Astyanax mexicanus: one gene and its partner. The protein of the gene in region 1 interacts with the protein of each later gene in a biochemical or structural test. Links are inferred from orthologs where the notes say so. Each region holds a gene or a part of one and is shown in the gene's direction. Other genes may lie near its edges.

Region 1 (13,434 bases):
ACGTCACCCTTTTCAGATTTTTAAACCATGTATCATTTTCGTACTACTTTACAATTTTGCAATATTTTGTGTTTGTCCATCACTTAAAATCTCAATATAATATATTTAAGTTTGTGGTTGTAAGGTGACAAAATGTGAAAAGGTTCAAGGGATATGAATACTTTTGCAAGCCACTGTACATAAATGTATAAAAAAGAATGTAAAGGTATTTTTAAATAATGATATATTAGCAAACATGGATATATATTACATTAATGAGATTAATTACTCTCTTCCAGAAATAATTAGTAATTAGTCATTTGTAATGCATTACTTTTTGAGTAATTACACCATTCATTGCTTGCTCCAGTCCCATATATGGTCTTATCAAGCAGGAAGAGCAACAATTGATAGTCTGTGACCGTCATGTGGTCATTAAACGAGACTGTTCTGCGAGGGCACTTCCTCCCAGAACTGCCTGATTCTCACAGTGTGCATCACTGCAGACCGAGTTCAGATATGTACTACGGCTCCATGGGGGTCACACACCGGGTGAGTGTTTCCTTTTCTTTTTTTTATTTAACCGGACTTTTATTCAGCAGATTTCCAGTTCTACAGACACATCACTACAAAACAATATTCAAAAATTACACAACAATAAAAGAATAAACACAACACAACACTACACAACACACTGCTTCATTATTATGTGTTTGTTAAGGGTTTAGTTTTTCTTTTTGTGCTTTATTACACGTTTTAACTGTAATAATGTGACTTTTAAAACAAAAAAAGTGTTGGTCACTATTCATATCATGCGCTGTTAGTGTCCTCGGCATAGTTGTTTAAATTTCATCCAAACACCATGAAACAATATATTTTCAATATATACTCTAAATAAACACAATATTACAAATATAGTGGCTTTCAAAAGTATGCATACACATTCCTTGAATTTGTTCACATTTTGTCATCTTACAACCACAAACTTAAATGTATTTTACTGAGATTTTAAGAGATAAACCAACACAACATAGCACATAATTGTGAAGTGGAATAGAAATGATACATGGTTTTAAAATATCAAATGAAATAAAAATCTGAAAAGTGTGACGTGCAAAATTATTCATCCCCCTGTGAAGGCATCAGTGGTTTGTTAGAGAACACTAGTGAACAAACAGCATCATGTAAACCAAGGAGCTCACCAGACAGGTCAGAGTTTAAGTTGTGGAGAAGTTTAAAGCAGGGTTAGACCCAAGCTTTACGAATCCCAAAGAGCAGTGTTTAATCGATCATCCAAAAATGGAAAAATAATTCTACAAGTGCAAACCTAACAAGACATGGCTGTCCACCCAAACTAACAGATTGAGCAAGGAGAGCACTGGTCAGAGAAACAGCAATGAAGCCCATGGTCACTCTGGAGGAGCTGCAGAAATCCACAGCTTGGGTGGGATAATCTACAGAAAACAGGGCAATTCTGGAAGAAAACCTGTTGGAGGCTGCAAAAGACTTGAGACTAGGATGGAGATTCACTTTCCAACAAGACAATAAACCTAAACATACAGCCAGAGCTACAGTGGAATGGTTTAGATCAAAGAATATTCATGTGTTAGAATGGCCCAATCAAAGTCCTGAGCTAAATCTCACTGAGCTTCTGTGGCAAGAAATAAAAAAAGTCTTTAACTGTTTCGCAAAAAAAGAATGGACAAAAATCTCAGTCTCTAGATGTGCAAAGCTGGTAGATACAAACCCCAAAATACTTTTTTTTTCAGCAAAAAGGTGGCTCTACCAAGTATTGATATAGGGAGCTGAATACTTTTGCATGCCACACTTTTTAGATTTATTTTTTTAATAATGACAACCTTGTATCGTTTTCATTCCACTTCACAATTATGTGCTACTTTATGTTGGTCTATCACTTAAAATCTCAATAAATACATACGTATAAAGTTGTGGTTGTGAGGTGACAAAATATGAAAAAGTTAAAGGGTTATGAGTACTTTTGCAAGCCACTGTATAGAGGTATGTTAACCCTCACTTTAAAGTACTTTTTTGTAAATTTTATACAGTTTTCTTTTTTGTAAATTTTATACAGTTTTCTTTCATGTGGGCTTTGAAGTTTTGAATGAATTTTTTTTTATATAATTAGACATTTCAATTTCTTTTTAACTCTTTTTATTTTTTTATAAAAATTATCGAACTATTTTAACCTGCCTTAATTCCTTTAAGAAATTAAACATCAACATCAGTGAAATCACAAATTTCACACGGTTTTTATTTTAAAGGACTGAAGACAATTGCTGCTGAATGGTCAGCAATTAATAATATTAATTTGACTTAAATGTATAATTTTGTCTCCATATTTAGCTTCAGTAAAGCTTAAGCTGTCCACCCTGTCATGGTGTATCAATATCAAGGTAATTAACATAATATTAGAAAATTTAAATGTATCTTTGAAACAAAACAAGATTACTAGGGATTACTAAAGTCACCCATGTTTTCATTAAATGCCAATTTTCACAAGATTTTCACTGTCCACCCTGCTGTACAGCTTGTCGCATGTGTTATATATGTATTGATGTATTTATATATATATATATTTATTCTGCAGGCATGTATGTATGTGTTTAGGGTCTGAATCTCCTTGTGTATCAGTTCTTTTCAGGATAATGCTGGGCATGGAGAATTCATTTCTTCATAGGTGTATTAGTGCGCCCCCTGCTGGAGAGTTATAATTGTCACGTGTAAAAATGTTTACGAAGAGCTATATTGTGTAATACTGTTTATATAATATATACTTTGTCCTTGATGACTCAATCAAAACTTAAAACACTTAATCAAACTGTCCAGCACTGACAGGAGATACATTTTAATATAGAAAGCATTTTTAGAATAAAATCACACCAGTGATCTCAGCACTAACTCAGTTTTTACTAAAACCTCAAATTGCTGATCTCTGTAATGCAGTTTTTACTAGTAGAAATTCTCAATTTTGACACCAGCTATGAAATAATTACTAGTAATAATATCAGAACAACAGATCTAAAGTCATTCTGACAAGACATAATACCATAGCACATATTTTTAATGTAATTCTGACTTAGGCCTGTCACAATAATTACAATATCGATTTATCGTACAATAAATGAACATGACCTGAATAATTTTTGATAATCGCAATATCATATTGTGTTTATTTGTATGTTTGTTCACATATATAACATGAACAGTATTTTAGCCAGTTATGCTTTGTCATGGTGAGCACAGAATGCAGACACGTGCAGATACTGATAAAAATGTGTTTATTATAAAATAAACAGATGTAAGACATAGTCGATACAGAAAAATGGGTAATCACCAATAACCAGAGCAATGAAGACAAAACCATACCATAAACGAGACAGTCCAGAGTTCATACACGAGATATCCAATATCAGAGGTAATCCAAGAGGCAGTAGTGAAAACACAGTCCAGGTAATACACAAGCAATCCAAAATCAGAGGCAAAGGCAATAATCGGCGTCGAGAAAACAAAGGCAAGGTCAATACACGAGATAAACAGAGACAAGAGATAAAGTAACGCTTTGTAATGAGGAGAACCTACAATACGCGGCGTGGGTGTTTGTGTGGAGTGCTCTTTTATAGTGCCAGTAATCAGTATTCAGGACTTCCTGGAGGAAGCCCGTGAGGTGTCACGTGATCAGGTGAGTGCGTGATGTCAGCGGGTGGTGCATTCTGGGTAATGTAGTTGTTGACCTGAGAACCTCCGTTAGAGCTGGGTGTGGAAGGGACAGAGGAGCTAACAGCACCAGACGTGACATGCTTCAATAACTGACTTGATACACATAGTGTGGACTAAAGTAGGTGAAGAAATAAGTATACAATTCCCAAACTAATAATAATATAATAATATATTAATATAACTATAACTAAATATATATTAATATAACTTATAATAAATGATTCATTCAAATTTTGTTGTCTTTAAAAAGTGTAAAATTGCTTTTTTATGCTATTCTGTTATCATTATGTCAGTGGCATTTAATACTCTAAATATTGTGTATCGCAAAAAATCCTGGGACGATATATATTGTCCACAAAAAAATCTTATCACGACAGGCCTATTCTGACTAGTCAAATGTTACCTTACAATTAATTTCACTGTCTCGTATCTCTTGTCATTTAATTTTAACTGCAAAAATTTTAATTACCAATATCTACAATTATTTTATTACTAGTAGAATTGTAATTACAGCTCTTTATAATGTGATTCTGATTTTAAAATAATATTTCAAGCAAAGACACAAACACACAGGAAACAACACAACATTATGCAAACCTCTAACACTAACTTGTTGTTGAAGATTGAGGGAAAAAAGCCAGTTCTTGTGCATGCACACAAACTTTTGAAAAAATCCTGCATCGGCAAATGTGTCGGTCTGCATTGTCTTCTTTGAAAAGCTTTTGGCTGGAACGCTGCTGTTTCTTGATTGGCTGTTAGGTAGCTACATTTCTCAATTTAATGACTGGTGTATGGCTTCTTCAGAACACTGTGGGAAACCACTTGATGTCTTCTTGCGAGTGTCTCAATGCATGCTTATTGCGTGAGATCTAAGAGCCTTTTTTCTGTCTGGACTGGCTGTAGAAACATTTAACTGGGATTCTCACCATCTTGTTTTCCCACCATCAATTGAGTGTAATGTTGTCATGTGACCACTAGTTGGTGCAGGCAGTATTTTCACAGGAGGCCCAAGAGTCAACAGTTTAAATATAAAGTATCATGGTGCAGAGAAGATCCCCACATAAGGACACAGGGTCTCAAGAGGTTAATTCTAAATTATCTTTAAATGTTTCATTGTAAATGAGCAACTGTGGTTAAAAACCAGGGATTGATTTCTGAACTCTTAAAACTTAATGAATATGAGCTTGTTTTCTTTGCATGATTTGAGGTTTGGAAGCTCTGCATTGTTTTAGTTTTTTCAGCCATTTCTCATTTTCTGCAAATAAATGTTCTAAATGATAATATTTTTATTTGGAATTTGGAAGAAATGTTGTCCGTACCTATGAATAGCAAAATCAGAGAAACTGATTCAGAAACTAAAGTGGTCTCTTCATGTTTTCCGGAGCTGTACAGCATGTTTTTATTTAGAGTGAATTTTGAAGCATGTATTGTTCAAGTGTTTGTATGAAATTTAAACAAATATTCTGCAGCACAAAAGGCACAGTATATAGATTTTGACTAATCTTTTGACCAAATATTTTTTTATGACACTGTATTTTCAATTTTCTTTTTAAATGTAATGTGTATATTTGTAAATGTGCAAATCGATAAACAGTGTACTTGAGAGCACACGGCACTTCAGTGATATATCTGTGTTGTCTCTGAGAGCATGTGACCGGGGTACAGTTCTGGGTAGAGTTGCACGGTGTACCGAAGGTTCGATTCTTTTTCGATACTACGTCATCACAAACGATTCGGTTCTTTAGCGTTCGATGCTTTCGATACTGTATATAGCCCAGTCACTAGCTTCAAATGAGTCAAATTAGTAGGCGCGATTTGATTCAGTTCATAAGAAAACTGATTCACACCGCAGCAGTCGGTGTGGCAGGATTCAGATAAACTTAGTGTTCTGAACAAATGAATCGATTCACGAGCAAGCCAGCAGAGCAGCAGCGAGTGTAGAATGGCGACGGCTAAAATAACAGATGTCTCTCGTCCGCGACTTGTGGACAAAACGGGCGCGAGGAGTGAAGTGTGGGAAAATAGTCTAAGATGTAGGCATCTGTTTTTTATTGATATTTTTATTTTTAAATAAAATAACGAAAACTGAAAGTGAAACTAAACTACTTTATTAGCGCTGTTTTCACTCCCGCAGTTGTACAGCGGGGGGGGGGGGGGGTTGTGCCGATTCTGTCCGCGAAGCGGGAGTCGGATTCAGTAGCGGATTCGGCACAAGGGCGGCGGCACCTCGCGCTCCGCGGTGTTAGTTGTAAGCGCTCGCGCTAGCCGCAAAATACGACAGAAAACACTGAGGGAGCTGCAGAATTATGTATGGGACTAGAATATGAGCACGAGGAGATCAAAGAGAACCTTTACCTGTGAGTAGCTCACATCAGAACACGCAAATCTCTCTCTCTCTCGCTCTCTCACTCTTTCTCTGTGTCTCTCTCTCGCACGTGAACGCCTCCGCGTTTGACCTGCAGCACTGTGTTTAGCTGTTCTTAAAAATCATTTTAATTAAATAATAGTTCTATGCTTCTATGTTACAGTGTTATTTAACATAATTCTGATCATATTTCGCTCATTTAGCAGACAAGCACCCTGATCTCTACAAAGAGCTGAGAAGTCGACAGGTTAGTGGAGTTAGTCAAGATACACTCTGTAGCTTTACTAAGATTTACTAGCGACTGCTAGTAAATCACATTAACATGGAGAGGAGTGTGCAGGAGTTTTGTTTTGGACCCGTGGTTTTCTCTATTTCTCCATTATCCCATTGGCTGTGAAACATGAACTCAAGATGTTCACGTTTTCGCGTTTCCATCGCAAATCTGTGGTCAGGCACGTAGCCTGCTTGCTCGTTACACTGAACATGGGCTTATTAAAAACGGTAAACGGTTGATTAATATAACGGAGCAGTGAGTGTTAAAATGAACATAACATTGTAATGTTCTTCTGTCTCTTTATTTTCCTTATTCAGAACTTAACTTCTGCCCGCCCGTCAGGTTCACATAGTCAGGCTACCATTACCTCTGGTTTTAGTTTTAGTTTTTAGGAAGTGTTTAGATAATTATGTTATAGTTAAGGTTATAATAACGAAACTTGTTTTTTGTACAAATGTTTCATTTTAGAATAAAAACGTTTGCACCGATTGTTCAGTGTTCAATCCAGTTCAGTCAAAAATAAACATTTTATGTTCAGATATTTTTATTGTTTTTTTTTCTTCCAAGTATCGTTTTGGTATCGAGAATCGTGATACTACAGTTGGTATCGGTATCGAAGTCAAAATTTTGGTATCGTGACAACCCTAGTTCTGGGTGTGATGCAGTGCCGGGCAGTGCACGCGGCCTGGCCGGGCAGGTGAGGGTGGGCAGTGTGCCAGCCGGGTGTCGTGTGCAGAGGCAGGGTAAAAAGCGCGCGGTTCGCCCTCAGCTCGCTCCGCACGGGACTGTCCGCGGCTCGGTCCGGTCCAATAAAGCCAGAAACTTCCAGAAAGTGAGATGAACAGGCTGGACTCGCTGGGCGGGTTCGGGAGGCGCAGGCGGCTCGGTTCGGGCGGGGAGCAGGTGTGTATGGTGGACTGCGGTCCTCCGTGCCGCTGCCCGGGGACGGAGCCGTGTGTCTGCCGCTTCTCGCAGCGCTCAGCCCGGCTGCAGGAGGGGAAGGTAAGCGCCTGGAGGAGCGGGGCTGAGACCTGAGGGCTGTTTTATTATTAGCGTCATTTTAAACGTTTTCTAAACGCTGTTTTTAGTCAGTTTCTTTTACTGTTAATAAAAGTTCTGTAATTTATTAATTTACTCGACTTTAGGAGCATTTTTAATTAACATGATAGAATTTTGGTACATTTCATTACATCTTCCACATGAAACGCAAAACAAACAAAATCTTTATTGAATCAGTTTTAAATATTATATACTAATTAAATTCATTTTCCACCATTAATAATGCTTAATAGAATAGTAACATATTTTGAGCATAATCACATAAAATATTAATTATATAAACTAACCCCCCCCCTTCACATTATTTACTTAACCTCAACCTCCATGTATACATTCAGTTTATATTTACATAAATTTATTCTGATAAGTCTTTTTTTTACTAGGTCTTTAACAGTTATAAAATCAATTGCATATAATATCTATTTTCTGTAGAATATGTAATTCCAGTTACAATTCTAAAATCCCAAAGTTCTGCTCAACTCTGTTTGGGCTAATTTAAAACTGAACAAAATCTCAAATAAAGAAGAATATATGCTCACTGTCCAGCGAAAAACAAGACAGCAACTTTACAGGAGAGAGAAAAAAATCTTCTAAACTTTCAATTAACAAGTCATTGTAAAAAAGAGTTTGTTTTGAGATTACTTGGAAGTATTTATATTGGTATGTTAATCAAGAAATTTCGGCACAGTGTAAGGAACAGTCTGTTCAATTTATGTAGTAAACTAAAAATCAACAAAAATGGAAATACTTGTTTTTTACTGGGCAGCAATGATATACATTTAATAGTATAGGGTGTTTTCTGTGTTAAAAAGGCTTTGCAAGGGTTTATGTCTAACACCTTTGAGCTTTATAATTTTTTAGACCAAAACCATCAAAAATAGAAAAATATACAGTACTAGTCTAAAGTTTCAATTGTTTAAAATGTTTAAAATGATAAATTAATAGTGAAGTCACCCAGATTATGAAGGAACAAATAAGGAATTTTGTAGTAAACTAAAAGTGTTAAACAAACCAAAATTATCTGGGAGACTGTTAACTTGAGGTTTCTGAGGCTGGTAACTCTGATTAATTTATCCTGTGCAACAGAGGCAACTCTTGCTCTTCCTTTCCTGGGGCAGTCCAGATGAAAGCCATTTTTTTCATAAGGTCTTTAATGGTTTTGTCTTTTGCAACTGCACTTGAGGATACTTTCAAAGTTCTTGAAATTCTTCAGATTGACAACCATTACTTAAAGCCTTTTTTTTTCACTTAGTCACGTAGTTTGTACATGTTTGTGACCAGTGGTGGCTGGTTAGAATGATCTGTACAAAAAATTACATCACATCTACATTTAATGCTGACCAGCGCAGCGTTCTTTAGCTTCAGTGGTACATGGCAAAAGTCATGGAATGCAGTACTAGTTCCTTCCAAAGTACATGTGGCATGTATATCACAGAGAAGTGTCAGGACTTTTGTCATATTGTCTACCTTTAGTTCCAGTGTTACTAGATGTTCTAATGAGCTTTACTGAAGTTCTATAGAGAATGTGGGAAACTTTAATTAAGGTTTAGTTGTGTGGCAAATAATCTTACCATTTTATTTGTACTTAAATTTAAATAACTTTAACAAATGTCCTGTTAAATTACTATTTGCTATAAATGGATGTTAAAAGGATTTGGTAGCTGATTGTACATGTCTTTGAACCATAGTTCCATTGATTTACCAGTAGCTTTACTTGAGCTCTTTGCTCTGCATAAAGGTCAGTGTCATAGGTTTTTAGATATGGCAGTGTACGTGTGTGTGTGTGTGTGTGTGTGTGTGTGTGTGTGCGCGCAAAACACTGATCATTGCTCTTTACTTCTTATCTCTGTCTAGTTCAACTTTTATAATGTTTCAGTTACCAGTCAATATCCCAGCTTTTTCTGAGCGAGACATGAGATTATAAATATTTGCATGCTTGTGATATTATATTACTTATTTCACTACTACTACTACTACTACTACTACTAATAATAATAATAATAATAATGATAATAATAATAATAATAATAATAATAATAATAATAATAATAATAATAATAAAATGCATACCAAGTTGGGTACTGTCTAGTTACATGTTTTCAGGATTGTGTAGTCAAGTAAAAGTAAGATTTGAATAAACTTCTATTATATTAGGTTCCAAGTATCTTCATCCCTCTACTTACCTTTAGCTTGCTCTACATCCCTCTACCTCACTCTACATTGCTGCATCTCCCTCTACTTACCTTTAGCTTGCTCTACATCCCTCTACCTCACTCTACATTGCTTTACCTCCCTCTACCTCTTTCTACCTGCCTATACCTACCTCTCTCTTGCTCTGCCTCACTCAACCTCTCTCTTCCTACCTCTACATCAATCCAGCTTGATCTACATCCCTCTGCCTCCCTCTACCTCACTCTGCCTCACTGTACCTCACTTTACCTCACTCTGCCTTACTCTTCCTCTAGCCTAGCTATGTCATGTGATCACAGTCTGCAGTGTGAAGAGATCCCGCTGTTACTGCATGAGGGTAATGCAGAATGAGTGTACTGTTATTCAGAAACTTATAGCAATTCTCATGCACATATCACGGTAATGATAGAAAATATGATTTATCGCACAGCTCTAGTAAAGAGTACAACTCTAGACACCAAAGAATACATATCAAGACACTTTGATATTACAGTATTTGTGTACACTTATATATATATATATATATATATATATATATATATATATAGATTTTATATATATATATATATATATATATATATATATAGATTTTGTTTAAGAGCCAAATATAGTAATTTAATAATACTTTGTTTGAGTATTTAATTACACATAAGTATAATTAAATAGCCACCACTCCACCTCTCCCTGCCTCATGCATGGCCCCCTAAAAGTCGGGCTCATGTGATAAGTCAGATTTGTTCAGTGTATAATCTGCTCTTTGATGTTGTGTGTGGTGTGAGACTTTAGCACTAATACGCTGGTGTGTGTGATTAGCTTGTGCTTACATAGTGGATCTGGATCAACTTGAGTTCATACAGTTCAGTTCATTACAGAATGGCTACCAAATGGATTTCAGTGTTTCCCACACTGTACTGTAGGTGGTACTGTAGACGGTGCCCCTTCCTTTCAACCGTCTCTGCATCTACAGTCGCGATTCAAAGTTTGTGACCCCTTTTTTACCTTTCTGCATAAATATAACCTAAAACATCATTAGTCCTAAAAGTTGATAGAAAGAAAGAAATTATACTTGGTCATTTATTGATCGATTTATTACATATTTGTAATAGGAAAAGTATATGAACCTTTGTGTATTGTATATTTGGGTCTCATCTGTCCACAAACATTTTTTCCAGTACATAGTCTTCTGGCTTGTCTATGTGATTTTTAGCAAACTCCAGACAAGCAGCAGTGTTCTTTTTGGAGAGCAGTTTTTTTTTTCAGCACAAACCACGTGATAAAGATTATCCACAGCATCTCAATCAGACTTTGACTAGGCCACTCCAAAACCTTCATTTTGTTTTTATAATTCAGAGGTGGACTTGTTTGTGTGGTTTGGATCATTGTCCTGCTGCAGAACCCAAGTACACCTGAGCTTGAGATCATGAACATAAACATGTTCTTTTTTTTAAATTATGTGTTAGTTTTACTCCAGACGTTACAGGACACACACCTTCCAAAAAGTACCACTGTTGTCACTCATTAGTCCAAAATATTTACCCCAAAGTCCTGGGGATCACCAAGATGTTTTTTTTGCCAAATGTAAGACAGGCCGTTGTGTTCTTTTTGGTCAGCAGTGCTTTTTTTTGCCTTGGAACTCTCCCATTAAAATAATTTTCCACAAGTCTATTTCTTATTATTGAATCTTTAACACTGACCCTAACTGAGGCAAGTGGGACCTGCAGTACTTTAAATGTTGTTCTGGGTTATTTTGTGACCTCCTGAATGAGTTGTCCATGCCCTTTTGGAATAATTTCGATTAACTGGTTCACCAGTGTTCCGTGTTTTATCCATTTGTAAATAATAGCTTTCACTGTGGTCTGCTAAAGCCTTGGAAATGACTGTGTAACCTTTTCCAGATTGATGGATGATCAATGACTTTTTTATTCTCATCTGTATTAAAATTTCTTTAGATCGGGCATAATGTGTTGCTTTTTGAGATCACATGTAATTTATGGGATGGCAAACACTTTTTTACAAAGGGCTAGATTGGTTTGGGTAGTTTTTTCTCGTAATAAATGAAATCATCATTCATAAAGGGCTTTATATATTTGCTTAGGTTATATTTTTTTATATTTATGTTTGTTTGATAATATGAAAAAGTAAGTATGAAAAAAATTTGTCTGGTCTTGTGCTTTTTACATGTATGTTGATGGTTGCTCCCAGTTTCCTCTGTTTTTTGCTTGTCAGTTAGCTTTATTACAGTTGGTTTGTTTTTTCTTGTAGTTTTCTTTTACTTTGTCTTGTTTTTTATTAGAATTACTTGCATTTATGTCCACCCATTTTCATCCCTTGCTGCAACCGTGACACTCTAGGGCAGGGGTGTCAAACTCATTTTGGCCGAGGGCCACATTGGCATATTGGCTGTCCTCCGAGGGCCAGATGTAACTTATAAATGTAATAAAATGTAACCAAATGTAATATATGTAAATGAATGTAATTACTCCTTAATGTTAAATAACTCTCAATATATTATTTATTCAATCAAATATTACAGTTGCATGGAAAAAATGTTTGCTTGTTGCTCTATTAACATAAATCCTTTTAATTTGTCATGTCATGAAATCCAAAAACTCCATCAATCAAGAACCAAACTATTCAAGTGAATAGAAATGACATCAAGTTATATTAACTTTGAAATTATTAACTGAAATAAGGCTTAATAAATATAAAATCAAAAATTGTGAGCTGTTAAGAACATAGCATTTCCTCAGATTTAGCAGTTCCTCATCCAACCACTAGTGGGAGCTGCAGCAGCAGCACCACAAGTCCGCAGTCTTTACTGAGTCAGAGCTACAGCCCAGCCACGGGCTACAGGGCTCAGCTCAGCCAGTCTGGAGCGTTTTTACAATTTTTAAGTTCTTCTGTGTATGAAATAAAGATTTTTGTAACCGAATAATACAGCTCTCTACAGTTCATCTTTCAGCCCAATCAGCTAACAGCAGCCGTTTAGAGCATGAGTCACTGCTGGGATTACATTATAAACAGGTCAGTTATCGCGCTGCTAACCTCAGGATGTTTATAACTACGGAGTTTAGTGGACACACCACGGCTGCAAGGTTAGACTGTTGAAGGCTACTGAAGACTATTAAAGGCTATTGGAGGTTATTGAAAGGGTTATTGAGGGCAGAAATCAGTAAAGGCTGGTTAGATAAGTGATTCACGTCCTCGTACTTTGCTGCGGTGAAACTGCGACTAGCGCTGTCACAGTGATGTTTATTAACGTCATTAAAACAGATTTTGTCAGCTATTGTCTTATAAATGTTTACACAGAACTTATATCTCTCCTAAAAAGCGTTTATTTTGGTCAGTAACACTCTTCGTAACACAAAAGGCATACCGGTCTTTCGCCTTGAAGCACAGCCGTCCGTCTGCATCAACTTCTCTTTTTCTGGACATTATGGGATAAACATTTATATGTCTCAATTCCACCCGCGAAGTTACACCTTCCCTCCGGCAGGGTTTCCACATCAATGACTACACTGCCGTGTAGTGGCAGTAAGCCGTAACTTTGCGGGTAATACAATCGACAAGCATTGTGGGAAATGTATTTTTTGGTCAAAGAACGCTTCTGACTTATTTATTATAGACACTAAGATCTTACAAGCTCTCGCGGGCCACATAAAAAGACGTGGCGGGCCACATTTGGCCCGCGGGCCTTGTGTTTGACACATGTGCTCTAGGGTTACAGTATTTGAATTTTAAGGCATACAAAATATGTAAAGGTTTTTACAGTTACAAAATGAATATACATTTTTAGCATTAAATAATTAAACGATCTGTTTTTGTTTGT
Region 2 (12,904 bases), on another chromosome or scaffold:
TAATAAATGACTTTGCTATAACAGCTCTAACAGCAGGAGTGGCAGTATTTACTGCAGTATGCTTCCCAAACTTTGTGTCTGGACAATTCGCGGAGGAGTTGCTGTGGTTTCTAAATGCTTCTGATTTTTAATAGTACCACACTCAGCTGATAGTGAAATATTTTGGAATATCTATCAAAGATATTGATAGAAAGGTGATTTCCAGTGGTGCCATTCTATTACAGTAAGATGCAATTAATTCAGTGAGCTCTTTAGAATAATTTATTCTTATATGTTTGGTGATTAAGGAATACAAACGTGATAATGGGACTGAATGAGACACAAAAACGCAATTATTAAGGAGTGAACCCCAATATTTACGTCCATATATTGCATTTTAAAAGGCAGTAACGTAACCTACTGATCAACAAAATATGAAAAAAGTCTAAAGGAGACATTTGAAGCAGATATACAATACAGCAAAACATTAAACTCATTACGTTTGCATGTTTTGTTATGCATAAATATTAAAGAAAATCAATTAAATTAAATTTGAATTCAGTGTTGAATGAAAAGTCAGGTTTCACCATGTGATGTGTATGAAAAATAAACAAATCATTAAACCAGCATTAAGTAATTCACCTTCCCCAACGAGAATGATTCCTCAGCCAAGACACATTCTCCATTCCATACTCTACTGCATCCCCGTACGTCAGGAACGGTTTCCCAAGCCTAGAAAAGAAAGTAAAAGTCAAACCATCCAAAAAAAAAAATGTATGGACATGCATGTGCCCAAACAGGTTTCATATCCACGAGACAGATGAGCAGAAACACATTTTTTCTACATGATCATCTAAAGCATTACTCATACTATCAAAGTCTCTTTTCTGTTTTAGTGAAAAGGCAACATTACCACTAAAAGTAACACCACTGCTTTACACAGGGAAACTATAAACTAAACAATATTTGAAAATATTTGCTCACATAACAGTTTGCATGTGCTGCCAATCTGACACTGTGTATATAAAAGTCAAGTCCAAGAGCTTCTGTTAACAATTCATTTGCATTATAATCAGTAATCAGACTACTGTTAAGTATGAGAGAAAAAAAATATATATATATACAGTTTACAGTATAATAAAGTCATGCATTAAAAATTTGAATGGCAAATTACAGGTTGAGTCAAAAGTCACAAGACACCATTGTTTTTTAGAAACGAAAGGGAAACACATCTGAATACCTCAGCTAGTAATGGGAAGGAAAAAAAACAAAAACAAAAACAAAAAATAAACAATACACTGCTTTGCTTAATTTTTTTTTTGCAATATACTGCAATACATTGAATTGTAACCCCTGTATCATGATGTGCATCATATAGCCAGGGTAATGCCTATACACAGCCCATTTAATAACCTTTTTTAACCTTTTATTTTTCTCTCCTCTCACATGAGCAGACCGCATCAGGCTAGTGACGCAAACTGTTTATGTGGCTTGTCTACAGTGGTTTTGGTTGCGCTGATACACAGCCCTCTCATATATCCTATAAAGGTTTTAACTTTGTAACAAAGCGATGTTGTGTATTATGTGCTACATGTAGGAGTAGATTTTATAAAGTTAAAATCCCTGAATGTCTGAGAGTAGTATCTAAGAAAAAGTAAACAGTGATGTCCTAGAGTAATAACGTGATGTACACGGATACAGGCGTGACTTACTTCCTCAAATGACTGAACTGAGTAAGCAAGCTCTGGACAAACAAATGAGGTTTAACAGCTGTTTAACCAAGACACTTACTTAGCACTTAGATGGTGGGAACATTTCACCAGAATCTGCATGCAATGCACAGCCACAATGCCCATCACGAAGAGACTCAGAGGACCCACCTGCAGACAGTTTCACAAAGTCAGTTGTTAATGAACTGAACATATTTATAATATACCTAATATACAAGTTTCAATGAAGTGAATTCAACAATCAGTATATATATGGTTACTGTCCTGCAAGAGCGTTCATAGTTTTTTTTTTTTTTTTTTTTTCATTTTTGCTGTTTTTAAATTTTTTTTTAGATTATTTGGATCTGGCAACAACAATAATGTTATTTTTTGTGACGACAGAGTTTTAAAACACTAAAGTAATGTAATAAAACAGCATCATTAGAGCTGGATCAAAAAGAAAATCTGTTTTTCTCTAGATTAAAAAGAAAACTCATATCCTATATATAAAAAGCCTTTCTTAATCCTTTATATACTGACATGCCATAATTCATGTGATACCAGTATGTAACTTGATCATTAAGTGTTACCACAGGAGATGGTATTAATTGTTAGTGGGGTTAAATACTGGTCAGTGTGCTCATGGCAAGGTGATAGTTTGGCAGGTGATAGGTGGCATAGTTTGAGCGAGGTCTGATAGTGGGTGAGGGGAGATGGATTGGGAATACTTTATAAAGGGCATAACCACCCAAAATGGAAAGTGCATCAGATGAAAAACAAACGACTGGCAGAAATCACATCCACATTCAATGCAGGTCTCAATTCATTTTCTAGATTCCATTCCAAAAGTCGTAGGACATGAGACTAGTTTCTGTCTCATGATATGTGGCATGCCAGCGTAATTTAGCATACCTTTTGGTTGCACATTATTGACTTTTGTTCTGACTGCCTGCCCTTTATTGTTTCCATAGTATCAGTCTTTTTTTTAAGTGAGTTTTATATGATACAGGCCATTAAAGCCAAGCACACAAAATGTGTATAATGTATTTTTTAATGTAATAACTTTAAACTGATAATAGAGACCTACCACAAGCCCTGCATTCTTCACAGCAAGAGGCAAGCCTAGCAGACCAGTGCCGATGTTTCCTTTCAGTAAATGAATTAAGGTCTGAAAAAACCTGTAAACACAAGAAGCAGAGCCTGAGACCAGCAGTCTAATCAGAACAACTTCAGTCCATTCACACTAAGTTACTGTGACTGGTCTTACGAGGATCCGGTTCTGCCTCCAATTCGCTCGTACTGTCTCTGCATGCGGGACGGGGAATGGACGGGCTCTTCGTCCTCTGTTGGACTCTCCTCTGTACAGGAGAATGCAGGCCCTGAAAAAAAGTTTAAAAGACATTTTTATTCATCATTTTTCTATGTATTAACTTTAATAACTTTAATAATTGACAAACTCTTAATTAGTATTAATATTTATATTGGTGCAAATGTAAAATAAAGAAAAAAGAAAAAGAAATCCCCAATGCTCTTTATAATGAAACCAATATGGGAGAAGGAAAAATCATTCTTAGTAAGTGGATTTAATGTATTTATGTAAGCGATTTTATTGGACCGTACGTAGTAAAATGTGCATAGAACGGAAAGGGACGTTAGTGTTTTGAAAGGGTTCAAAACAAAGCATACAATAGAAATACAGTCAGCTGAAAATATAGGACCATCATAAAAACCTTAGATTTTTAAGCATATTTATTCACATGAATATTTGAGCTTTATTAAAACAGTATTGAGTATTAGTTTTTTTAGTTTTAAGCATAATTAAAAAAAAAAAACAATGCTCTCAAAGCTCCATTAAATATCCACTATGAATTATCCATTGTCTCAGAGAGTACTCAAGGACATTTTGAAATATTCCATACATACACAGCTAAGACATTTTCCCAGTCCATGTCTGAGACTGGTGGACAGATTTACGAAAAAACTGAGGTATTGAGGTAATTGTCAGCTTTTTCCAACATTAAAGGTTTTCTTACGTTTAAAAGTTTTCTTTGATTTGCTGTATAAGCTTCATCTTAGAATACTGTTCAAATGCAGCCTACGTGTCTTTTTATTACATCTCTTCATAAAGACAAACATTTGCATGGGGTGTTCCTTTTCTACATGACCATATTTTTATTGCTTGGCAAAAAAGTACCCTAAGAATATAGTCTACTGATACTTACAAGGTATAACTACAAACATATGGAATAAAAATCTTCCTCACTGCAGTACTAAAAAGAAGCACTGATACAGAGTCTAACTTAATAAAGCAAAACAGGCTGCACCACAAATGTTCTTCTAATGCATATTAAATTTGGTTACCATCCTGATAGTTGATGTCTGAATTCATGGCTGTTCCGCTCAGCTGGAAGTTTCACTGGTCCCTGCTTTTATTGTGGAGACAATTCATCCAGCCACTGTAAACCATCAAAGGCAAGCAAAACATTATTATCATCATTATTACGCTGCTGGTTCAAAGCAAACTCATTTTATTGACCTATATTTATTGAGTTTCAATATTTGCTCAAATTATCACAAAAACAATAGTTCCTGTGTGTACTAGTATATATGAAACAGTATTAGTTGTGTAGTAGTGTGCCATATTATACACATTTGTACACAAGAATATCACAAAAATGTCTGACACTATATTGTGATAATAGCAATATTCTTGAAAGCAGTACATATTATTATACAAAAGCAATATTATTTGTTTTGCTATTTACTGTATTTACTTTTAACTATGTTTTATTGCAGTTTATATACATGTACTAAACATGCTGCATTTTATGTTTCGTTTTTAGATTATTTGTTGTTCAATTGCATTATTTTTGTTACATTTTTCATTTAATATTCAAAATCTGGGTCTTGGAAAGTTACTGTTTACAAAATAGACAAATGTTTATAAATTATTTTGTTTCAAGTGAATGTATTAAACTGTTACATTTGTTTTGTTTGGTTGTGCCATATCGCCCACTCCTAGTACTAGTCCATAAAACACAGTGCTTGTATATATGAAACAGAGTGCTAGTATATGAATCACAGTGCTAGTAGGTCACATTATGCTACAAATTCCAAATGACTCTGTTAGTTATGTAAGGTTAAATTTAGCTGAGTAATTTCTTTCACACTTCTCTGAAGTCAAATCCTCTACATCAGCACTCTGCACACGGAGAAGCTATTAACTGCTGACCACTGCAAATGCCAAACATGTGATTTCACTGTTTTTACTTTGTTGTAAAGGAGTTTAAACTAAAATGAGCAATCTTTCTTTTTATAAATCTTCTGTTTTGTTGATAAGGACATAGCATGAAAAGCTAGAATAGGCGCTCAGTATCTACATTCATTGCAATGATTACAGCCACTGATTAATTCAGTCAGCTGGTGTTGTTTAGTATATAGAGTATAAAATATCAAAAAGTTCTGTTGTCCTTTTAAAATACAGCCTGTCACGATAATTACATTATCGACTTATCAAACAATAAATGGATATAACCTTAATAATTGTAATAATTGTGATATCATTCATTGTGTTTATGAGCAAACCTATTTTTGTTGGTGGAAATGCTGCGAACAGTTCAAGCTCAATCCACATTGGTGGAAGCGGTATAAGAGTGTACTGCTGCAGACAAAAAAAGTACAGTCTTCCAAACTACTATTAAGTAAATGTTTATTGTCTTTAAAATTAAATAATTTGTTTGATATGATATCATGTTGTCATTATTTTAGTGGCATTTACTGGGCTTAAATGATAAATTCTGTATGAAACAGACTTGGGGTGTGGTAAAACATGATAATAAATACAAACATTTTCTTAATATTGCACCTCCGTCCAACCCCAGCATTCCAAAATACAGCGCTTATAGCCAATGCTCCCAATACACTTACAATGAATCATGTTTCACTACACCTCAAGTCCATTTTACACCAAATTTCTCCTTTAAAATGACAATAATATTGTTCATCGCAATCATTTCTGCGACATCATATCATTCGCAAAACATTGTTGTCGTGACGTGCATTGCTATAGATTTTATGCATTGAGGTTGAAAGGCATGTGACATTGTGTAATAACAACTATTTTCATAGTTTCAGTTTAGCATATGAACAAGACTGTCTGAACTGCAGTATTCACTGAAATGAGTATTAACTACAAAAAGTAAACTATTAACAGTATTCCCTCATAGCCTTAAAGGGCTGGTTTTATTGAAAAGCATATTTAAACAAAGTCTCCTTGAATAGTGCTGATCAACAACTACTACAACTAGTTACAGCTCTGGAAAAAATTAAGAGACCACTTCAGTTTCTGAATCTGTTTTTCTTATTTAGCTATTTATAGGTATATGTAAAATTAACATTGTTGTTTTATTCTATAAACACCGGACAACATTTCTCCCAAACTCCAAATAAAAATATTGTCATTTAAAGCATTTATTTGCAGAAAATGAGAAATGGCTGAAATAACAAAAAAAAAGATGCAGAGCTTTCCAAGCAGTTCAGCTTGGTTTGATAGCTTGTGATCCTACTGATTATATTCCAGAGGTTTTCAATTTGGTAAAATCAAAGAAACTCATCATCTAAACGCATGTCTTATTTTTTCCCAGAGCTGAATATAAAGTGTAGTTCTTTAACTAGCATTTATTTGGGTTACACTGGACCTAATTTATTGGCTCTAATATTGCTTTGTCCAATGGAAAACTTACCTCAGACAACAATCATATCTTGACCATCTGGGAATGAGTTAAACTGTTCTAAACTAATTTAAGTTTATTTACTAAACTATTCACTTAAAACACAAGCACAAAAACACAAGCACAATGTACAAGGACATGTTTACTAGCCTGTAATTGGCTAATAATCTTATAGCTGGTCACTTAAGTAGCTGCATGTAACCGTAAGTCGTTAAATTTCCCATATATATATCTAATATTTCAGTGTATTTAATGTTATAAAGCAGCCCAGCTGTCTGTCACTCATTCACTCCCTGCCGCTGCAGCTGAGTCGTGGCTCCTGTAGTAAAAGGGCTTATTACTCAGTGAACTGACAGTTAGGCTGGTTAGCTACTCACCGGGAGCTCCAGAGAGCCGCTGCGGCCGCGCAGAAGCCTTATTTCACTAGCAAAGACGAATGAACAGCCACATTTTCCTTTAACAACTTAAACAGATAACAGTATTTAAAGCACGGTCCGGTTTTAAATCTCCAGCGCGGTGTGAACCCCGCCGCTGACCCGCTGTCTCACTGCTGCTGCGAGGCTTGTTGTTTCTTCTGGTGTTCAGAGCGCGCCGGTCACATGATCCTCTGATCAGCTGACGCAGCTTGAGGGAGCTTCTGTGAAAAGCCTGACCAAACTGGCACGTTTAGACTTTAATCTAATAGGATTTTGATATAACAGTAGTTCAGGAAATTAATACATCATTAGTAAAAATGAAAAATGCAATACAACAGAAAATTCCAGCATGTACAAACTAAAGTTTGAAGCTTATTTGTAATACAATGAAATTTTCTGATTCAGTTTTAATTCGTACAATTCGTATTGTATATGTAAAAAATCGAATTATTAAGATTTGATTTGGTTTGTTGCAAATGAAAAATGCATTTAAATTAGATTGCAATTCAATTCTTACATGTAGTAAAAGAACGTTTTAGTCCTCACCATAAAACACAGAAAAGACACCACACACAGAAAAGAAGAAATGTGTGAATATATTTCCTTTTTAATTGCATTTTAAATGTATTTTGTTGTTGTTGTTCATTTATTTATTTTAATGTCACTTGCAAGTTTACAAATTTATATTTTACATATATTTTTGTTCCATATGTACATACACTATTTACACTACACTAAAGCTCTATTGGCCTGTGTGTATGTATATATATAGAGCATGCCGTGAACCAGCCCTAACTGATAAACAAATCACATGTAAGATTAAATAAGAAAACGATTTAACGATTCAATTCAGTTAAAAAAAATAAAGACATATAAACATTAGTTTAGTTATCCTCGTTGTTTGATAGTATTTTTAAATTGCTTTTAGTACTTAATAATAGACAAATACAAAACTAATTTTAAGAGAGACCTATAAAGATATAGAGAAAATTTATTTAAAGAAAACCTCAGAACTTTTCCCATTATGCTCCGATTCCGCAGTGTTGTAATATGGTAATACACGCTTCAGAAAGTGGGCGGTAATTTAGTGATCATCCCTAAGTCACACGTCTTCGCTCAGCACCGAGCAGCAGAGTAGCAGAGTTCAGATAGCTCTTGGTGTTCATTTAACAGGAGGTTTCGTTTACTTAATTCTTTTGACGCTCTCAAGATCTTATCGGATCATGGCAGTAAGTGTCTTTTATCTTTGATTCCCGACTTTAGCCGATAGTTCAGGGCTTTTGCTGTCTAAAGGCCAAGGGCTCATTTTCTGGTCGTGTTTAGCTAAGTTGCTAATTTAGCCTGTTGGATTTAGTAAGTTAGGGATAGCTTGGCTGGTGCAGGGACTCGGAATTTAAACAGTCTGAGATAACGCTGTTTTTGTCCACAGACCCACGAATTCTTTGTTGATATGACCTGTGAGGGATGTTCTGGAGCAGTCACCCGGGTTCTTAAAAAAATAGGTAGGTCTACAGTGTGTATGTTGATGTTTGTATGTGCTGATGTTTGTGTGTAGTTTAGGAGTTAATTCAACTTTTCTCAGCTAGCTGAACTAACCTAGAGTAATCTAACTATTAGCTAACTAGCTATCTGGGTTAGCTGGCAAGTTACCCTAAGAGCCTAAACCCACTTTTGAATATTGATTCTAATTTCTAAATCAAATCTGATAAATTCAGTGGGCAGCTCATTTGGGTTTTTTTTGTATTGTGGGCACATATTATATGAAATATAAATATTATGGCTAAAATCCTGATGCAACCCAAATGACACCACAACATTTTAATAACCTGTATTTTAAAGTGTGTGAAATGATGTAAAATGGACATAAAATGTAATAAAACATGATCATGAGGATGAACCTTTAGCCCTATCCGGGCGGGAATAATTTCTTAGGGGGACTGCAATTGAAAAAACAGGAGGACCAGTGATTTTTTAGGCTTTCTCGGTCACATGACATTGCATTCAGTAACTCCTCCATTTCCCCTTGCTGTTGTGTTCATGTGTATTTCCTTGGATAAGTGCGTCCCCAAAGTGTAATTACGGTGCATGGCAGTGGACAAATAGCTATTTTATATATTTTTTTTAAATGCAAGGTGACAAAATGCAGAGATGTGCATTATGGATGAGACTTAAATTACCGGACGAGTTCAGTGAAAAACAATAGGTTATTCAGGCTGCAATTTTCTCATAGGACATCTGAGAAAAACACGTACATGGTCATTCCGGACGTAAATAAAATCACAGAGGACCCCCCATAAAAGAGAAAATCACCCCATGACCAACTGAGAAACTTATTATTGACAGAATTCCAAGGGCCCTGACATATAAAATGAGGCGCTGAGAATCAATAAGTCGACTGACGTGCATGAACGAATAGGTAGGATAGGGGAACAGGTTAGGCAAAATGTATTAGTGGAAATGCATAACTTCAAGTTGTTGCTGAAAGTATCTGGTGATTGTCTACATCAGACTGAAGAGCACCATAAAACAAAGGGCATAATCTTTACTGAACTACTCAGAACTACTAATCTTTTGAACTACTCAGTCACTCGTCAGTTGACTTAGCGTGACTTAATTTTAAGCCTGAAAAATTACCTGAAGGTGCACTATCAAAGTTTTCAGTGCCTTGTTTTTAATGTCAGGGCCTTTAGAATCTTACGAATGCAGTGTGGAGCTTCTTTGAGCTTGGTAATGGTGAAAAAAAAAAAAGATTTCTGGCCAGGGGAAATGCAATGCCCCTATCACTAGCATTGGAGGCCTGTTGGAAGCATCAGCTAAAAAACACTGTATTTGGTAATGCTGGGGGTAAATAGAGGTGGGTTAGTCGACAAAAGTTTGTACTCGATATTATGTTTTACTACACCCTAAATCAAGGAACTTTTTTACATATCATTAAGGGTCTGTGACATATATTACCACAGGCTCTTTTGAAGCAAAGACCCAAATTAAAACTCTTGTAAACTCTTTAAAAGCATGTAATGATATTTCAGAGCAGTGATATAGTTGACCTGTTTATTGTTTTGTTTTTGCTTTTGTTTTTTTTTGTTTTTTTTTCCATTGCTTTTTTATCATGTGTACACACTTCTTTGGTTTCATATTGTACTGCGTAGTCAGTTTCGTAACGGACTGTTTTAGGTCAAATGAGTGTGCACAGTGTGCATCACTGCTGTCTGAACTCTTTTTCTGATTGCCAAATAAACAAATTTACAGGAAAAGCAAAAATCTTCCTAATTTTCAGGAGAAGTCAATGTAAATAATTTATTTCATTTATTTTACTGATTTATTTACCCTAAATGTGAATAATAAAATGCACATTTCAATTGTGTAAGGAAAATTAAAGAATAAGAAACTGGATATACAAGGTTTTTATGAGACATTTTGACATATAATGAAGTGCCATGGTAGGGTGACAGCTGAAAGCTTACAGTTTACACAATTTTGAATGTTTAAAATGTTTACAGCCTATTCTTAATTCAACAGATGTCAAGTTTGACATTGACCTTCCTAACAAGAAGGTCTTCATCGAGTCAGACAAAGACAGTGATGTTCTTCTAGAGACGCTGAAGAAGACTGGAAAAACTGTCACTTACATCGGCACAAAATAGAGGATGCTCAGCATTTAACAGCTTTTCTACACCATGTAAGCCTGCTGCTTCTCTTTCCTAATTAATAACCACTGGTTGTTTATTTACTGACATTATGAGTATTATTAAATTGTATTAGTTTATATTTATATGCATTTTGGGTTTGGGTTTCAGTCTCCTTCATTTGTGATTCTCCATGTGACAGGTTGTAATTCCTGACAAGATTATGGATGGCTGTGTGATCACGCTCTTCAAGAATGAGGTGTGTGACTGTGGGGACCAGTGGAACAAGCTTCTAAAACCTGTCCTGATGTGCACCATGATAATCAATTCAAATGCTAATTAATGAAATATTAGTATCTAATGCAACATAGTTTTAGTACAATGGCTCCTTTTGTGGCTGCAATATAACAACTAAGTATAGACATAGTCTGCTACTGTATTGTCTGATCATGAAAAAAAGCCTGTTTTCTTGCCTGTTTGGAATTTGAAATTAATAAAATGAATACATTTAAGTATTAAACACTGTTTTAATGGAAAATTAAATTAAAGTTTATGTAACATGTTTTGTGATTAGCATATAAGCTTCAGGATCACAGCAAACCGGCTAAATTTTTTTACTTTTTTTTTAAATAGACATTTGGTTATTTTTAACCTGAAACACAACAAATAGTGCATTTGATACAAAATAGATATAAAACCATATAGAATTTCATTTACAACCTTAAATCAAAAAAGTAGAGACAGAATAGAAAATGCAAGTAAAAATGCATTATGGCATACATTTAATGTAACTAATTTAGTAATTATTTCACTTTTTTTTTTTTTTTAATGTACAACTATTCCTGCATTGCGGCCCTGCAACAAAGGTAGAAACAAATTTGAAGAGTCAAGCATTTACCACTAGTGTTGTCATTTGTTGTCACCACGCCAGCATGTGTGTTTGCATTGTCTTGTTGAAAAATCCCCATACTATGACCCTGGATTTTGGACTTGTTGCTGATAACAGTCTGGATGGTCTTTTATATCTCTGCTGTGGAGCAAAGGGCATCCTGTTATACCTTATATATTGATTAGTCTGACCACAATTCACATTTCCCCTGGGTGATGGTCCATTCCACATGCCCCCAAGCCCAGAGAATTCAACACTTCTAGACAATGTTTATGGTTGTATTTGTGAATGAAACTTTATATTGTAATGTTTGACAAATGTCTACAAAAGTAATCAATTAAACATGTGGGTCTATTAGCTATTGCTGAATGACAGTTCTTGATATAGTGCCGCCTGAGAGATTGGAGATCATAAGAGCCTTTGGCATATATCCACTGCTAATTACCAGTTCCTTAAATGGTTTAATAATAGTACAAAATATGCAAATTCCTTCCATTTGTTTTTGACTGTTTTGTTTCAATTTGTTATGACCAGGAGATCCTCTTCCAACTTTTGCTCTTCAGACTTAAGGGGATACATCTATTTGAAATTAAATAATTTTTTATTGATTTATTTTTTTTTACCCCATTATTAACCCTAAATGGCCCATGTTCCAAAGTCTCAGGTAAAAATGCAGGAATGCAATATTAACAAATAATCTTTAATATCTTTACATATGGGGTTGCATATATATATATATATAAACACACTTCAGTTTCTGTTTCTTCAGTTTCTGAATCAGTTTCTCTGATTTTGCTTTTTATAGGTATATGTTTGAGTGAAATAAACTGCTGTTGAATTTTATAAAGTACGAAAAACATTTCTCCCAAATTCCAAATAAAAACATTGTCAGTTAGAGCATTTATTTGCAGAAAATGAGAAATAACAAAAAGCTGCAGAGCTTTCAGACCTCAAATAATACACAGAAAACAAGTTTATATTCAAAGTTTTAAAAGTTCAGAAATCAATATTTGGTGAAATAACCCTGGTTAATCACAGTTTCATGCATCTTGGTATGTTCTCCTCAACCAATCTAACACACTGCTTTTGAATAAATATATGCCACTGCTGGTACAAAATTTCAAGCGGTTCAGCTTGGTTTGATGGCTTGCAATCATCTATTTTCCTCTTGATTATATTCCAGAGGTTTTCAATTTGGTAAAATCATGGAAACACTACCGTTCAAAAGTTTGGGGTCACATTGAAACGTCCTTATTTTTGAAGGAAAAGCACTGTACTTTTCAATGAAGATAACTTTAAACTAGTCCTAACAAATACACTCCTAAACAAATACACTCTGTACATTGCTAATGTGGTAAATGACTATTCTAGCTGCAAATGTCTGGTTTTGGTGCAATATCTACATAGGTGTATAGAGGCCCATTTCCAGCAACTATCACTCCAGTGTTCTAATGGTACAATGTGTTTGCTCATTGGCTCAGAAGGCTAATTGATGATTAGAAAACCCTTGTGCAATCATGTTCACACACCTGAAAACAGTCTAGCTCATTACAGA

The links.
Region 2: the proteins of atp7b (region 1) and atox1 form a complex in vitro, tested with the Homo sapiens proteins (3 studies listed by BioGRID and IntAct). The link is inferred for Astyanax mexicanus from reciprocal best matches to the Homo sapiens genes ATP7B and ATOX1.

What each region holds. Positions count from the first base shown.
Region 1 is NC_064412.1:38,317,199-38,330,632, forward strand, and holds the start of atp7b (copper-transporting ATPase 2), read left to right. Parts: upstream 1-7,080; 5' UTR 7,081-7,193; coding exon 7,194-7,358; intron 7,359-13,434. UniProt on the Homo sapiens protein: Copper ion transmembrane transporter involved in the export of copper out of the cells. It is involved in copper homeostasis in the liver, where it ensures the efflux of copper from hepatocytes into the bile in response to copper overload.
Region 2 is NC_064417.1:39,243,686-39,256,589, reverse strand, and holds atox1 (copper transport protein ATOX1), read left to right. Parts: upstream 1-7,915; 5' UTR 7,916-8,057; coding exon 8,058-8,063; intron 8,064-8,263; coding exon 8,264-8,336; intron 8,337-10,353; coding exon 10,354-10,478; 3' UTR 10,479-10,513; intron 10,514-10,662; 3' UTR 10,663-10,980; downstream 10,981-12,904. Other genes in the region: slc36a1 (proton-coupled amino acid transporter 1), read right to left, coding at 622-711, 1,771-1,859, 2,776-2,866, 2,956-3,067, 4,050-4,077. UniProt on the Homo sapiens protein: Binds and deliver cytosolic copper to the copper ATPase proteins. May be important in cellular antioxidant defense.